Linked DNA regions of Stegostoma tigrinum. The protein of the gene in region 1 purifies or fractionates together with the protein of each later gene. This does not show direct contact. Links are inferred from orthologs where the notes say so. Each region holds a gene or a part of one and is shown in the gene's direction. Other genes may lie near its edges.

Region 1 (7,253 bases):
CTAACCTATGAAAAAAAGACCTTGGCTATTCACCTTGACTTTGCCCTTCATGATTTTATAAACCTCGATAAGGACACTTTCAGCCTCTGACGCTCCAGGGAAAATGGCCCCAGCCTATTCAGCCTCTTCCTTTAGCTGAAACCCTCCAAATCCAGCAACATCCTTGTAAAATCTTTTCTGAGCCCTTTCAAGTTTCACAACATCTTTTCTGTAGAAGTGAGACCATAACTGAATGCAGTATTCCAAAAGTGCCCCAACCAATGTCCTGTACATCCCAATATGAACTCCCAACTCCTACACACAATGCCCTGACCAATAAAAGCAAGTGTACCAAATGTCTTCTTCACTATCCTATCAGCCTGAGACTTCACTTTCAAGGAACTATGAGCCTGCACTCCAAGGTCTCTTTGTTCAGCAGCACTCTCACTTACCATTAAGTGTATAGTTCTGCCTTGATTTGCCTTTCCAAGATGCAACGTACCACATTTATCTAAATTAAACTCCATCTGCCACTCCTCAGCCTATTGGCCCATCTGATCAAGGTCCTGTTGTACTCTTGGCTGTACACAACACCACCAGTTTGGGTGTCATCTGTAAACTTACTAACCATGCCTCCAATATTCACATCCAAATCATTTCTACAAATGACAAAAAGCAATGGACCTAGCACTGATCCTTGTGGCACAAGGTTGCAGTCCTCTAGTCTGAAAAGCAATGCTCCACCACCACCCTCTGTCTCTTACCTTCAAGCCAATTTTGTTTCCAAAGGCTAGCTCTCCCTATATTCTGTGTAATCTAACCTGTCTAACCCGTCTACAAAGCAGAACCTTATGGAACATCTTGCTGAAGTCCGCTTGACAATATTCACACCTCGGCATTCATCAATCGCTGTCACTTCTTCAAATAATGTGTGCTGCAATGAGTAAATATTTAGTGTAGTTCAGGCAGTTGAGACTTGATAAGCTGAAGGACCATGCTTCTGTTCTGTACGCATCTGTATCACATATTTTCTGTTTCCATATTTTCCTAATCAACCTATTCAGAAATGTTTCTATACACCTGTGGAGAAGGTGGGAAAATAGCTACATTGCAGTAATTGTAAAGTTACCAGACCTGCAGTATCATTAGAAGGAGAGAAATAACTGATAGTGGCTTAATGTGAGAGTCACCAGACCTTAGATGAAAGTGGAGAGGAGCCGTAGCCAGTGTGGGAATTGAATCCATTGATGGCATTGTCACTCTACATCAGAGACCAGCCAATAGAACTGAAATAACTGCACAGAAGTTTGTATCCTGTCACCATGTCAGACTTTATTTACATGTGCACTATACACTGGCTATGACCAGACAAGTTTGAGTCCCTGAAGTAAGGGAACTCTGAATGCCCTGATTAAATCTGTCAGCAAGGGCTCCCTGATTGGCCTAGGTTAATAAACCCAATTAAGGATCAAACAGTCAATGAAATCTACCTGATTCCGATCACAATAGAGGCTAAGGAACCCCTCCCCACTTAGGTGGATTAATCATGGTGACCCCACATAGAGTGGGAATTGACCCCGTATTTTTGGCATCACAAGCCAGCTGTTGAGCCAACTGAAATAAGAATTTTGCTTTAATTAATCAACAGTGAGTTTGCTGTTTACTGTATGTGTGGAGATAGAAAAAAAAGTTGTGCTGTGACCAGGGAATGCTTAATAATGGAACAGCAACTGACTGGATGGGCCAAATGGCCTAATTCTGCTCCTACATCTTACAGAGGAGCTCTTGAAATGTCATAACATTCAAGACTATGTGGCCAAGTGCTGGAAAGAGACTAGTGTAGATTTAATTAGATGTGATGAGCCCAAGGGCTGCACTGTATGGTTGCATGTTTCTATAGGATGCAGTACTGGAAAGCAGACACCAGCTGGAGGAACACAGCAGGCCAGGCAGCATGAGAGGAGCAGGAATGCTGACGTTACTGAAGACCCGAAACATCAGCTTTCCTGCCTCTGATGCTGCCTGGCCTGCCGTGTTCATCCAGCTCCACACTACGTTAATAAAATGTGAGGCTGGATGAACACAGCAGGCCAAGCAGCATCTCAGGAGCACAAAAGCTGACGTTTCGGGCCTAGACCCTTCATCAGAGAGGGGGATGGGGTGAGGGTTCTGGAATAAATAGGGAGAGAGGGGGAGGCGGACCGAAGATGGAGAGTGAAGAAGATAGGTGGAGAGAGTATGGGTGGGGAGGGGATAGGTCAGTCCAGGGAAGACGGACAGGTCAAGGAGGTGGGATGAGGTTAGTAGGTAGATGGGGATGCGGCTTGGGGTGGGAGGGAGGGATGGGTGAGAGGAAGAACAGGTTAGGGAGGCAGAGACAGGTTGGACTGGTTTTGGGATGCAGTGGGTGGGGGGGAAGAGCTGTGCTGGTTGTGTGGTGCAGTGGGGGGAGGGGACGAACTGGGCTGGTTTAGGGATGCAGTTGGGGAAGGGGAGATTTTGAAACTGGTGAAGTCCACATTGATACCATTAGGCTGCAGGGTTCCCAGGCGGAATATGAGTTGCTGTTCCTGCAACCTTTGGGTGGCATCATTGTGGCACTGCAGAAGGCCCATGATGGACATGTCATCTAGAGAATGGGAGGGGGAGTGGAAATGGTTTGCGACTGGGAGGTGCAGTTGTTTGTTGCGAACTGAGCGGAGGTGTTCTGCAAAGCGGTCTCCAAGCCTCCGCTTGGTTTCCCCAATGTAGAGGAAGTCACACCGGGTACAGTGGATGCAGTATACCAAATTGGCAGATGTGCAGGTGAACCTCTGCTTAATGTGGAATGTCATCTTGGGGCCTGGGATAGGGGTGAGGGAGGAGGTGTGGGGGCAAGTGTAGCATTTCCTGCGGTTGCAGGGGAAGGTGCCGGGTGTGGTGGGGTTGGAGGGCAGTGTGGAGCGAACAAGGGAGTCACAGAGAGAGTGGTCTCTCCGGAAAGCAGACAGGGGTGGGGATGGAAAAATGTCTTGGGTGGTGGGGTCGGATTGTAAATGGCAGAAGTGTCGGAGGATGATGCGTCATATCCGGAGGTTGGTGGGGTGGTGTGTGGGAATGAGGGGGATCCTCTTTGGGCGTTTGTGGCGGGGGCGAGGTGTGAGGGATGTGTTGCGGGAAATACGGGAGACGCGGTCAAAGGCGTTCTCGATCACTGTGGGGGGAAAGTTGCGGTCCTTGAAGAACTTGGACATCTTGGATGTGTGGGAGTGGAATGTCTTATCGTGGGAGCAGATGCAGCGGAGGCGGAGGAATTGGGAATAGGGGATGGAATTTTTGCAGGAGGGTGCGTGGGAGGAGGTATATTCTAGGTAGCTGTGGGAGTCGGTGGGCTTGAAATGGACATCAGTTACAAGCTGGTTGCCTGAGATGGAGACTGAGAGGTCCAGGAAGGTGAGGGACCATTTCCACTCCCCCTCCCATTCTTTAGATGACATGTCCATCATGGGCCTCCTGCACTGCCACAATGATGCCACCCGAAGGTTGCAGGAACAGCAACTCATATTCCGCCTGGGAACCCTGCAGCCTAATGTTATCAATGTGGACTTCACCAGTTTCAAAATCTCCCCTTCCCCCACCGCATCCCTCAACCAGCCCAGTTCGTCCCCTCCCCCCACTGCACCACACAACCAGCCCAGCTCTTCCCCCCCACCCACTGCATCCCAAAACCAGTCCAACCTGTCTCTGCCTCCCTAACCGGTTCTTCCTCTCACCCATCCCTTCCTCCCACCCCAAGCCGCACCCCCATCTACCTACTAACCTCATCCCACCTCCTTGACCTGTCCGTCTTCCCTGGACTGACCTATCCCCTCCCTACCTCCCCACCTACACTCTCTCCACCTATCTTCTTTACTCTCCATCTTCGGTCCGCCTCCCCCTCTCTCCCTATTTATTCCAGAACCCTCACCCCATCCCCCTCTCTGATGAAGGGTCTAGGCCCGAAACGTCAGCTTTTGTGCTCCTGAGATGCTGCTTGGCCTGCTGTGTTCATCCAGCCTCACATTTTATTATCTTGGATTCTCCAGCATCTGCAGTTCCCATTATCTCTCCACACTACGTTATCCCTGACTCCAGCATCTGTCGTAGGCGCTATCGCCAGGAGCAAAGATGGCGGCGCCCGCCAGGGTCACAGCGGGCAAAGCGCATGCTCGCTTTATATGCGCATGCGTATTCTTGTGTTAGGCGGGTGGGCGTGTGCGCGTTGACGTCAGGGGCGCAGGGCGGTGTACGTGGCCCTCGCGGCGCGCACGCGTTTTTTCTCCTCGTCTCCCGGTTCCGAGCGGCAGCGGCTGCGGCGGCTTTTCCTTCCTACACCTTCGCTCACTCACTCGGTCACAGTTATGTTCCGAGTCGCGCTCAGGTACAGCGGCACAGGCCTGGCCGCCTGGAGGCGGACGGCATTAGCGGTCCCCGGCCGAGGGCACCCAGCAGGTAAGGTCAAAACGAGCAGGGTGGGTGCCTGTCCCATCTCCCCCCCCCCTCCCACCACCATCTCTTGTCTGTCACCACACCCCCCCCGGGAGGGTGGGGAATGTTCATGTACCCCTCTCCCCACCCTCTGTTTATATCCCCCGGTCACGGTTTCTGCCACCGCTCGCTGCAGCCCCGTGTCCTTGCAATGACCCGCGCCGCTACTCGAGCCTGGCTCCGGGCCTAGTGACATTGCCAGAGAGGGGGCGGGAGGGTAGCATTGGGTGGGAGGGAAGGTGCCGGCCCAGTGGGGTGATAGGGTGCCGGCCCAGTGGGGCAAAAGGAATTCTAAGTTCTTTTTTAAAGGGCAAGGTAAAGATACATTCGTTTTAGTGCTGTGGAAGTAAATGAGATTGTGGTGGTGGAGGGGATAAGGAGCGAATTAAATGTTTTTAGAGGGACGGGAAATGAATATTAGGATTGAGATGTGTTTGGTGAAGGGAGGGGGTTCAAGACATGAGGTGTGTGGAGACGGGGAGCAAATTATAGAGTTCCCTGCAGTGCAGAAGTGGGCCATTTGCCCTATTGACTCGGTAGTGATCCTGTGAAGAACATCCCACCCAGACACCCTGCACATTCCGTGGCTCGTCCCACTACTTAGCCTGCGTGTCCCTGGACACTGGGCAATTTAGCATGTCTAATTCTCCTAATTTGCCCTTCTTTAGACTATGGGTGGAATCCCATGCATAGAAGGGAGAAATGTACAGATTCCTCAGAGACAGTGGAATCAAACCCAGGTCTCTGGTTCTATGAAGCAGCAGTGATAACCAATGAGTGACCATGCTATCCTTGTGCTGATAGAGGGGGAATAGAGATTAGGGTGTGTGTGAAGGGATAAACTAGCCAGGAGGGGTACATAGAAGTGTATAAATGGGTAGGAGTAATTAGAGTAGACTAGCAGTTGAAGGGAACCTGCATAGGCCCTTGCATCATGTGTCCTGTCACTCCTGAGCCCACTGCATTCACTTCCTCCTTTTACTCTTAGTTTTTATGATAAAATCTGTCCCTGTCTGTGGTTGAACTATTCTGAAGCTTACAATGTTTATGTTGAACTTAATGCAAACTCCACTTCTTTACTCCTAACTAAATTGCATTGGCAACGGAGGTAGCATTCAAAACTACTAGGAGTTTTCAGCCTCTTCAGTGGCATAATGCCTTCATCTTATGCTACTTGTATTCTGTTACTTTGGATTTAGCTACACTCCCTTAATTACTATGTAACAAAAACTAGTTTTGCTTCCACTGCCCCATATCCATTTCAGGAACAGTATTTGATGCACATTTAAAGTACTTAAGTTATTAGATGAGAGATAGTAGGAACTGCAGAGGCTGGAGAATCTGAGATAACAAGGTGTGGACCTGGATGAACACAGGCCAAGCAGCAGCACAGGAGCAGGAAGGCTGACATTTCAGGCCTAGACCCTCCTGCTTGGCCTGCTGTGTTTATCCAGCACTCACCTTGTTATCTCTAAATTATTAGGCATGCAGGAAGGGATAACTCAAGGTCACTTGGAGATGTGTGTTTGCACATGTAGTTGGGAATTTAAAACAAAATTCGTTCTACTTCACTATACTTGAAAAGGGTAGCTGACACAACTAAGTATTGAAGAGTAGAATGAAAATGATCAGTCCAGTCTTGATTTGAGAAACCAGGAATGTTCTTCCATCTCCCTTTACCCCTTTCCCTTCTGCCAAATCCATCCCATGCCTGCCACACACTTTACAGTGTCTCCTCCCACTAGCTTTTCCTGAGTCCATTTCCTCCTGCCTATATCCTCCCCTGCTCCACATCTGTAGTTTATCCCTCTGTCTTCACATGCCTTCCATCTCTATCTAGGAATGAGGGAAGACTGTGTTTAGTTTTGAGGGGCATATTCGAATTATCAACTTCATTGTGCTTTTGATTACTGCTAGTCAAGAAGGTTTATTTCCTTGACCCTTTTGGGATGTGACAAAGCTGCAAAGACAATTATTCAGATGCAGATAATCTCCAGGTGTCTTGATAGTGTATTCGGAGAGGATTCTTCCTCTTACGGTGGAATATAAAACAAGGGGCTGCAGCTTTAAAAAGAATTCTCCTGTTTAGAATAGTTGAGTAATTTCTTCTGCGAGTCTTTATCTATGGGATTCTCTTACTCCAAGCAGTCGATGCTGGAATGTTGAACTGTTTGAATGTTTTTCAGACTTAATTGGATGAAGGTTGTAGGAAATAGACTGGAAAGTTGAGTTGATTTCACAATTATGGTTCAGTTAAATATTGGAGCAATGGCTGAATCATTTGTATTTTTCTGAAGAAAATGGTTGAGTCATCTATGACTGTCTAAATGCAGTGGATGTGGAGTATTAAGATCCCATTTTGAATACATGTAAATACTATTCACATGTGGGTTAATGTCTGTACTTTCATTTCTAGGATATGGATTTGAATTTACTATTGAATTAATGGCTCTAGAGTTTGTGGTTGTAAACATTGAGAGAAATCACTTTGAAAAGCTAATCCAGTTCCTGATGGCCTAAGCTTGAAGTACACAAATTGCATGAAAGCCTGTAATTAGTTCTAAACTCAAATATGTGGTGTTTTAAGATGGTTTAGACATATTGATCAACATGTTAGCTACAGCTGACTTCACTGTCACTGATCCAAGAGCCCACAAGTGAATGAGAGAGAGATTAATTGCAGAGCTGCAGTTCTTGGTCTGTTGTCAAATTGGAATGTGCAAATGGTATGTAGTTCCATGAATCCAAAGTCAACGAAGTGGTATCTG
Region 2 (7,481 bases), on another chromosome or scaffold:
CCTGGCCATACTGTACGATCCCTTCTTCAGTTTTCTGCTCTGTTGATTCTGTGGTCCTTCTTAACCTCTCTTATTCTCACTTTCCCTTTAACTTCATTCTTAAATTTCCAGTTTGGCCCCTCCCCCCCATTACTTAGTTTAAACATACCTGTGTTGCAGTGGCAAACCTGCCTGCCAGAAAGCTGGTCCCCCGATTATTAAGATGCAAACCATCCCTCCTGTACAATTTATTCTTACCCCAAAACATACCCCAGTGATCCAAGAATTTAAATCCTTGTTTCCGACACCAGTCCCTCAGCCACACGTTCAGGTCTATTATCTCCCTGTTCCTGCCCTCTCCAGCCTGAGGAACTGGAAGCAAACCAGAGATAACCACCCTAAGAAATAGGCTGCTATGGGACTTGAACTCAGACCCCAGCGGTCACAAACCCACGTGCTCACCATTACGCCACGGCAATGACAGCAACGCCATGGCAACGACAGAGAGGCAACCTTACTAAAAGATACAAGATTCTTAGGGGACTTGACAGGATAGATGCACTTTGTGGGAGAGTCTAGAAACAGAGAGCATAATCTTAGAATAAGGGCTCAACCATTTAAAACAGAAATGAAGAGGAGTTTATTCTGCCAGAGAGTAGTGAAACTTTGGAATTCTTTGCTGCAGAGTTCTATGAAGACTGGGTCATTAAGTAAATTCAAGGCTGAGGTGGACAGATATTTAATCAGGGAATCGAGGGTTATGAGAAAAAGGCAGGGAAGTGGTGTTAATTGTCAGTTCAGCCATGATCACACCAAATGGCAGTGTAGACTTGATTGGCTAAATGACCTATATCTGTTCCCATGTCTTACATTCTACTGAGTCATAAAGTTCCTTCCACCAACCAATCCCAATGTCACTTCCTAGGCCAGCATTTATTGCCCAAGCCACAACTGCTCAAAGGGCAATATTTACCCTTTGGTCAATTAATTAATTAGCCCCAATCATCAGCATAACTACTTTTTATTTTAAAACTGGAGAGGGAACCCTTGGTTCAACATTTAATCTGAAAGATACTCCAGTGGTACTGCATCGAAACAGCAGCCTAAAATTTGCACTCAAATGGGAGTTGAATTCAAAACCTATCTACTTATTCTGTTGGTGAGAGTGCTGGCAGCATGAGCTCCAGCTGACAGTCACAATGTAACTGATATGAAGCCAAGCCCCAGAGTCTGTGCACTATCACAGGTTATACATGAGTTAGGAGTTGAATTTTTCAATACTGCCTGCAATATTATCTGCAGAATTCACCAATATAAACAGTGAATCAATAGAATTTAACAGAAATAAAGCTAAAACTGTCACTTGTATAATTATGAATGGCAGGATACTGTGATGCTAATGTGGTATCTCAAAGCTGGGAAAAAATACTTAATTAATCAACAGTTGGTTTTCTTGTTTTTACTCTTTCCCAAAAACCTTGGTATGGAAACAACATATGTTCTCTGAGAGGGAGAAAATACTGCTTATATGGTTCATGATGTGAAGGATCCTGGTAATGGATGGCTTCTTTTGATCAATATGTTTGAGGTTTAAGCCAATTGAAAGAATGGTTGAGGGGGTTTATAGGTAATAAGTATTGAAGGTGATTAATTAAATATTGTATTTAAAGGTGGGTATTAAAAGGGAAATAGAGAAGAATAATATTTAATGGTTGCTTAACTTGTCCCCCAAAATGATTAAAGTTTCAATCCTTAAGTGCAGTTTTTTTTAAACTTTTGTACGTATAAAAATATTGCTTTACATATTCTTTAAAGAAACGTTCTTTACATTTACTTTATCTGCTATTGCTCAGGGAGCTGTTACTGGAACAAGCCTCGAGGACAGCTGATTTGGGAGGCAGACTAGTCACTAGATGAGATTAGATTCCCTACAGTGTGGAAACAGACCCTTCGGCTCAACAAGTCCACACCGCCCCTTGAAGCATCCCACCCAGACCCATCCCCCTATAATCCACACACCCCTGAACACTACGGGCAATTTAGCGTGGCCAATCCACCTAACCTGCATGTCTTTGGACTGTGGGAGGAAACCGGAGCACCCAGAGGAAACCCATGCAGACATGGGGAGAACGTGCAAACTCCACACAGACATTCGCCCCAGGCGGGAATCGAACCCAGGTTGCTGGTGCTGTGAGGCTGCAGCGCTAACCACTGAGCTACAGTGCCGCCGTCACATTGAATCTTCCTTCAGAACCGAGCGTTTAGCTTCACTATTGAAACAACGTGTGAGTTTTGTCAAGGTGCTGAACCAACCTGACATGTTATACAACAAACATTCCACACTAAAGGTAATTGTCCTGAAAAGTTAAATTGTTTCTCTCTCCTTGGTGCTGCTTAATTTACTTCCAACATTTTTGTTTTAAATTGAAATGGCTGATTTATTAATGAGTTAAACCCCAGAATACAGGGTATATTTTCATAATTTGTGGAATGTACTAAACTTAGAATTACTGTAAATTGTGAGGAGAATAATGTATAATTTCAAAAGGACATAGACAGGTTGGTGGTGTTAGTGGATAGGTGATAAAAGAGATTCAGTGATGTGAAGTATGAAATAATGAATGGTAGAAAGAACTCTAGAAACAATATGAAGGGTACAGCTCGAAAGGGAGTGCAGGGGTAGAGGGACCTAGGTGTATGTGTATAAATTTTAAAGGTGACAAGGCAGTTTCAGACAGAATTTAATAAAACATTCAGTATCATAGGCTGTATTAATAGCAGCATAAAGTACAAGAGAAATAATGAACTTATGAAAGACACCAGTTTGACCTCTGCTGCGACATTCAGTCCAGTACTGGATGCCACACTTCAAGAAGGCTACAAATACATTGAAAAGAATGCAGAAGAGTTTGAGAATGGTTCAATGTATGAGGAATTTCAGTTATGAATTCAAATCAGAGAAATTGGGACATATCTCCTTGAAGAGAAGGCTAAAATGAAATCAGATGGAAGCATTCAAAATCATCAGAGATATGGACAGAGTAAATAGGGAGAAAATGATTCCACTTCTGAAAAGACCAAGAAAAAGAGGGCACAAAGCAAAAGTGATACCTAAAAGTGATTCATGTAGTGAAGGTTTTGTGTCTGGAACGGTCTCCCTGAGTATGTGAAGGTAGGTTCTGTGAGGCATTCAAAAGGGAACTAGATGGTTATTTGAAAAGGAATAATATGCAGCGTTAAAGGATGAAGGCAGTGGAATAGCATGATGTGAGATGCTCACTTGAAGAGCTGGCACACAGTGGGCCAAATTGCTTTTTGCACTGTAACAATTTGGATGATCTGTAATGGTGTTTCATAAAGGGTAGTGAGGAATGGGCTTTTTACACGGATGGCTCAACTGCTTGTTCTTTATTTACTGCTTCTAACCTCAACTCTGCGTTGTATCAGCATTGAACAATGTCATTCCTGACCTATACTAGTTTGTTGTTTGGTCCTTTAGTGCCACCAAGTGGTTATAGGTCAGAGGAAGTTCAGTGGCTTCTAATATAACTTACCAAACAGCATGGTACCTTTAATATTTCAAAGTGTATCATACATGCATAATGCATAACCCTACAAAAAGACAGAAGCAGAAGATAAAAGGAGGAACACTGAAAGTTTGATAAAGGAATGCGTTTTAAGGAAAGTCTCAAAAGAGGAGAGATTGGAAGGAAAACAGTAGTGTTTGCATCACATCCAAGATATTAAAAATCATTCGTTAATCTTAATGATTGTCCCTCGTTAATTCTGCAGCACAAATATGTTGAAAATGCTTCTCTTCATTTGGCTCATTTCAACATTCATTTACTGATCAGCATATTTTGTCAGTAATAAATTCAAGGCTGAATTTGGGCATCATATCCAATTCCCCACCTAATCAATTCATGTCCACCCACCAACTCAAGGTGCCCTGATCTACATTGTCTCCCAGTCAGGCAATGTTCATTTAGATTTAACTCTCATCCTTGTTTTTGAATCTCCATTGTCATGCTCCTAACTCTGTAACCGCCTATCCTGCAAATGTCTGTGAGATTTCTGCACTCTCCAATTCTTTACCTTGAGGATCCATGACAGCTGATTCACACCACTGACAACTCCATTTCGTTGACTTGGTCCTAAGCCCTGGAATGCCTTCCCCAAACTTGACCTCTTTTCCTAAAAACAACTTCTTCGGTCAAGCATTTTGTTTTACAAATGTCGTCTAAGTATATGTAAAATAATTAGCGTTGGTTTTATTTAATTCAAGTTATTGAACTAAGGTAACAACTTTCCATATCTGGTCTTATTTCGGACCTCAATATGTTTTCTCCGTTATCTGATCATTTGAAACTACCAAGTAGATCAAAATCGCGTTGCTGTTTTGATTTGCCCTCTTCAGCTTTCCGTATTTGACCTTCCGCAAGCAATTCTCGTTGGTGATTTGACAACATGGCGGAAATGAATTCTCGAGGAGGTTCAGAGTTTGCTAAACGAGTCGACCCGAAAAGGGACAATTTGACCAAGGAGCAGATTGAGTTCATGCAGAAAGTCGAGCTGGCTCAATGGCATAAAAACATGCAAAAAAGGAGCGGAAGGAATGTAATTACAGGTTTAGCTATCGGGGCAATCGTGTTGGGCATCTGTATCCTTACGTATTGAATGGTTTATTGGAGGTAAAAGTATGTCTTGAGTTTGGGCGTTAATCGTAGGTACATTAACAGGCTGATTTGTGCGATTAGATCAAATCAAATTGTAAGGTGATAAAATGTGAGGCTGGATGAACACAGCAGGCCCAGCAGCATCTCAGGAGCACAAAAGCTGACGTTTCGGGCCTAGACCCTTAATCAGAGAGGGGGATGGGGTGAGGGTTCTGGAATAAATAGGGAGAGAGGGGGAGGCGGACCGAAGATGGAGAGAAAAGAAGATAGGTGGAGAGGAGAGTATAGGTGGGGAGGTAGGGAGGGGATAGGTCAGTCCAGGGAAGACGGACAGGTTAAGGAGGTGGGATGAGGTTAGTAGGTAGGAGATGGAGGTGAGGCTTGAGGTGGGAGGAAGGGATGGGTGAGAGGAAGAACAGGTTAGGGAGGCAGAGACAGGTTGGACTGGTTTTGGGATGCAGTGGGTGGAGGGGAAGAGCTGGGCTGGTTGTGTGGTGCAGAGGGGGGAGGGGACAAGCTGGGCTGGTTTTGGGATGCGGTGGGGGAAGGGGAGATTTTGAAGCTGGTGAAGTCCACATTGATACCATTGGGCTGCAGGGTTCCCAGGCGGAATATGAGTTGCTGTTCCTGCAACCTTCGGGTGGCATCATTGTGGCACTGCAGGAGGCCCATGATGGACATGTTATGTAAAGAATGGGAGGGGGAGTTGAAATGGTTTTGCCACTGGGAGGTGCAGTTGTTTATTGCGAACCGAGCGGAGGTGTTCTGCAAAGCGGTCCCCAAGCCTCCGCTTGGTTTCCCCAATGTAGAGGAAGCCACACCGGGTACAGTGGATGCAGTATACCACATTGGCAGATGTGCAGGTGAACCTCTGCTTAATATGGAAAGTCATCTTGGGGCCTGGGATGGGGGTGAGGGAGGAGGTGTGGGGGCAAGTGTAGCATTTCCTGCGGTTGCCGGGGAAGATGCCGGGTGTGGTGGGGTTGGAGGGCAGTGTGGAGTGAACAAGGGAGTCACGGAGAGAGTGGTCTCTCCGGAAAGCAGACAATGGTGGGGGTGGAAAAATGTCTTGGGTGGTGGGGTCGGATTGTAGATGGCGGAAGTGTTGGAGGATGATGTGTTGTATCCGGAGGTTGGTGGGGTGGTGTGTGAGAACAAGGGGCATCCCCTTTGGGCGGTTGTGGCGGGGGCGGGGTGTGAGGGATGTGTTGCGGGAAATGCGGGAGACGCGGTCAAGGGCGTTGTTGACAACTGTGGGGGGAAAGTTGTGGTCCTTGAAGAACTTGGACATCTGGGATGCGCGGGAGTGGAATGCCTCATCGTGAGAGCAGATGCGGCGGAGACCAAGGAATTGGGAATAGGGGATGGAATTTTTGCAGGAGGGTAGGTGGGAGGAGGTCTATTCTAGGTAGCTGTGGGAGTCGGTGGGCTTGAAATGGACAGCAGTTACAAGCTAGTTGCCTGAAATGGAGACTGAGAGGCTCAGGAAGGTGAGGGATGTGCTGGAGATGGCCCAGGTGAACTGAAGGTTGGGGTGGAAGGTGTTGGTGAAGTGGATGAACTGTTCGAGCTCCTCTGGGGAGCAAGAGGCGGCGCCGATACAGTCATCAATGTACCGGAGAAAGAGGTGGGTTTTGGGGCTTTACCTCCCCACCTCTACACTCCTCTCCACCTATTTTCTTTTCTCTCCATCTTCGGTCCGCCTCCCCCTCTCCCTATTTATTCCAGAACCCTCACCCCCATCCCCGTCTCTGATGAAGGGTCTAGGCCCGAAACGTCAGCTTTTGTGCTCCTGAGATGCTGCTGGGCCTGCTGTGTTCATCCAGCTTCACATTTTATTATCTTGGATTCTCCAGCATCTGCAGTTCCCATTATCACTGATACAAAATTGTAAGGTGTATCGCTTCTCCGGCAGTTTCGTGCCACCATACCTATCCGCGCATTAGCAGAATGTACATAAAATTTTCTTATTTCAATAGGAGCCCGATTAGGCTTTTCAGACCCTGGGGTTTGTACCATTTCCAGTGTGAATCATGATTGATCTGCTCAAACTCGATCCACTCATTTTGCTTAATTCCCTAAACTAATAAATAGCAATCTATCCATCTCAGATTTAAAAATACTATTTGAACTAGCATTTGTCACCTCCTTGGGAAAGTGTTCCACACTTCTGGCACCCTTAGATAACAGTCCTTCCTAACTTCACTGAAATTCAGAATATTCACATCACCCAGTGCGACACAGGATGTAATATAGCCCTGGTGATATAAGTAAGGATGTTGGTAAAATTGATAGCCTTTGGGAGAAAAGGAGCTGTGCATGATGGTGGGCTTCATGTGAACAGTGCTGGAATTCTTTGCGAGCAGAAAAAGAAATACTACTGTGAGAGAAATGTTTAAATTAATGTTGCAGGGAAGAGGAAATAAAAAAAGACAAGTAGGAAGAAAAGAAAATACATACTTTCAAAGAGGATGGAAAAGGGTGAGAGGGAGGAGGCTTAGCAAAAAACCCTCAAAGAACTACAAGTGCTGGAAAACTGAAACAAAAACGTAAATTGTTGGAGAAACTCAGCAGGTTCAGCAGTGAAAGACCACTGAACCCAAAACTATAACTCTGTTTTCTCTCTAGGGGTGCTGCTGAATCTGTGGAGTTCCTCCAGCAATTTCTAAGATTGTTTGACAGATGGGAATTTGAATTCTGCTATATCAGTGCACAACGTGACAGAATTGATGGTGTTCCCACAATGCACCCAGACAATGCAGAGTTTTTAGTTTAGTTTATTTTTAATACTTGGAAGGTGATCATGCTGGATCCTCCCCTGGATAC

Evidence for each region.
Region 2: the proteins of cytochrome c oxidase subunit 5A, mitochondrial-like (region 1) and cytochrome c oxidase assembly factor 3 homolog, mitochondrial purify together in Homo sapiens (affinity purification with western blotting; 3 studies listed by BioGRID and IntAct, with this or other methods). This does not show direct contact. The link is inferred for Stegostoma tigrinum from reciprocal best matches to the Homo sapiens genes COX5A and COA3.

The regions. Positions count from the first base shown.
Region 1 is NC_081389.1:16,551,116-16,558,368, reverse strand, and holds the start of cytochrome c oxidase subunit 5A, mitochondrial-like, read left to right. Parts: upstream 1-4,232; 5' UTR 4,233-4,358; coding exon 4,359-4,449; intron 4,450-7,253. UniProt on the Homo sapiens protein: Component of the cytochrome c oxidase, the last enzyme in the mitochondrial electron transport chain which drives oxidative phosphorylation.
Region 2 is NC_081384.1:15,282,266-15,289,746, reverse strand, and holds the start of cytochrome c oxidase assembly factor 3 homolog, mitochondrial, read left to right. Parts: upstream 1-4,420; 5' UTR 4,421-4,446; coding exon 4,447-4,639; intron 4,640-7,481. UniProt on the Homo sapiens protein: Core component of the MITRAC (mitochondrial translation regulation assembly intermediate of cytochrome c oxidase complex) complex, that regulates cytochrome c oxidase assembly.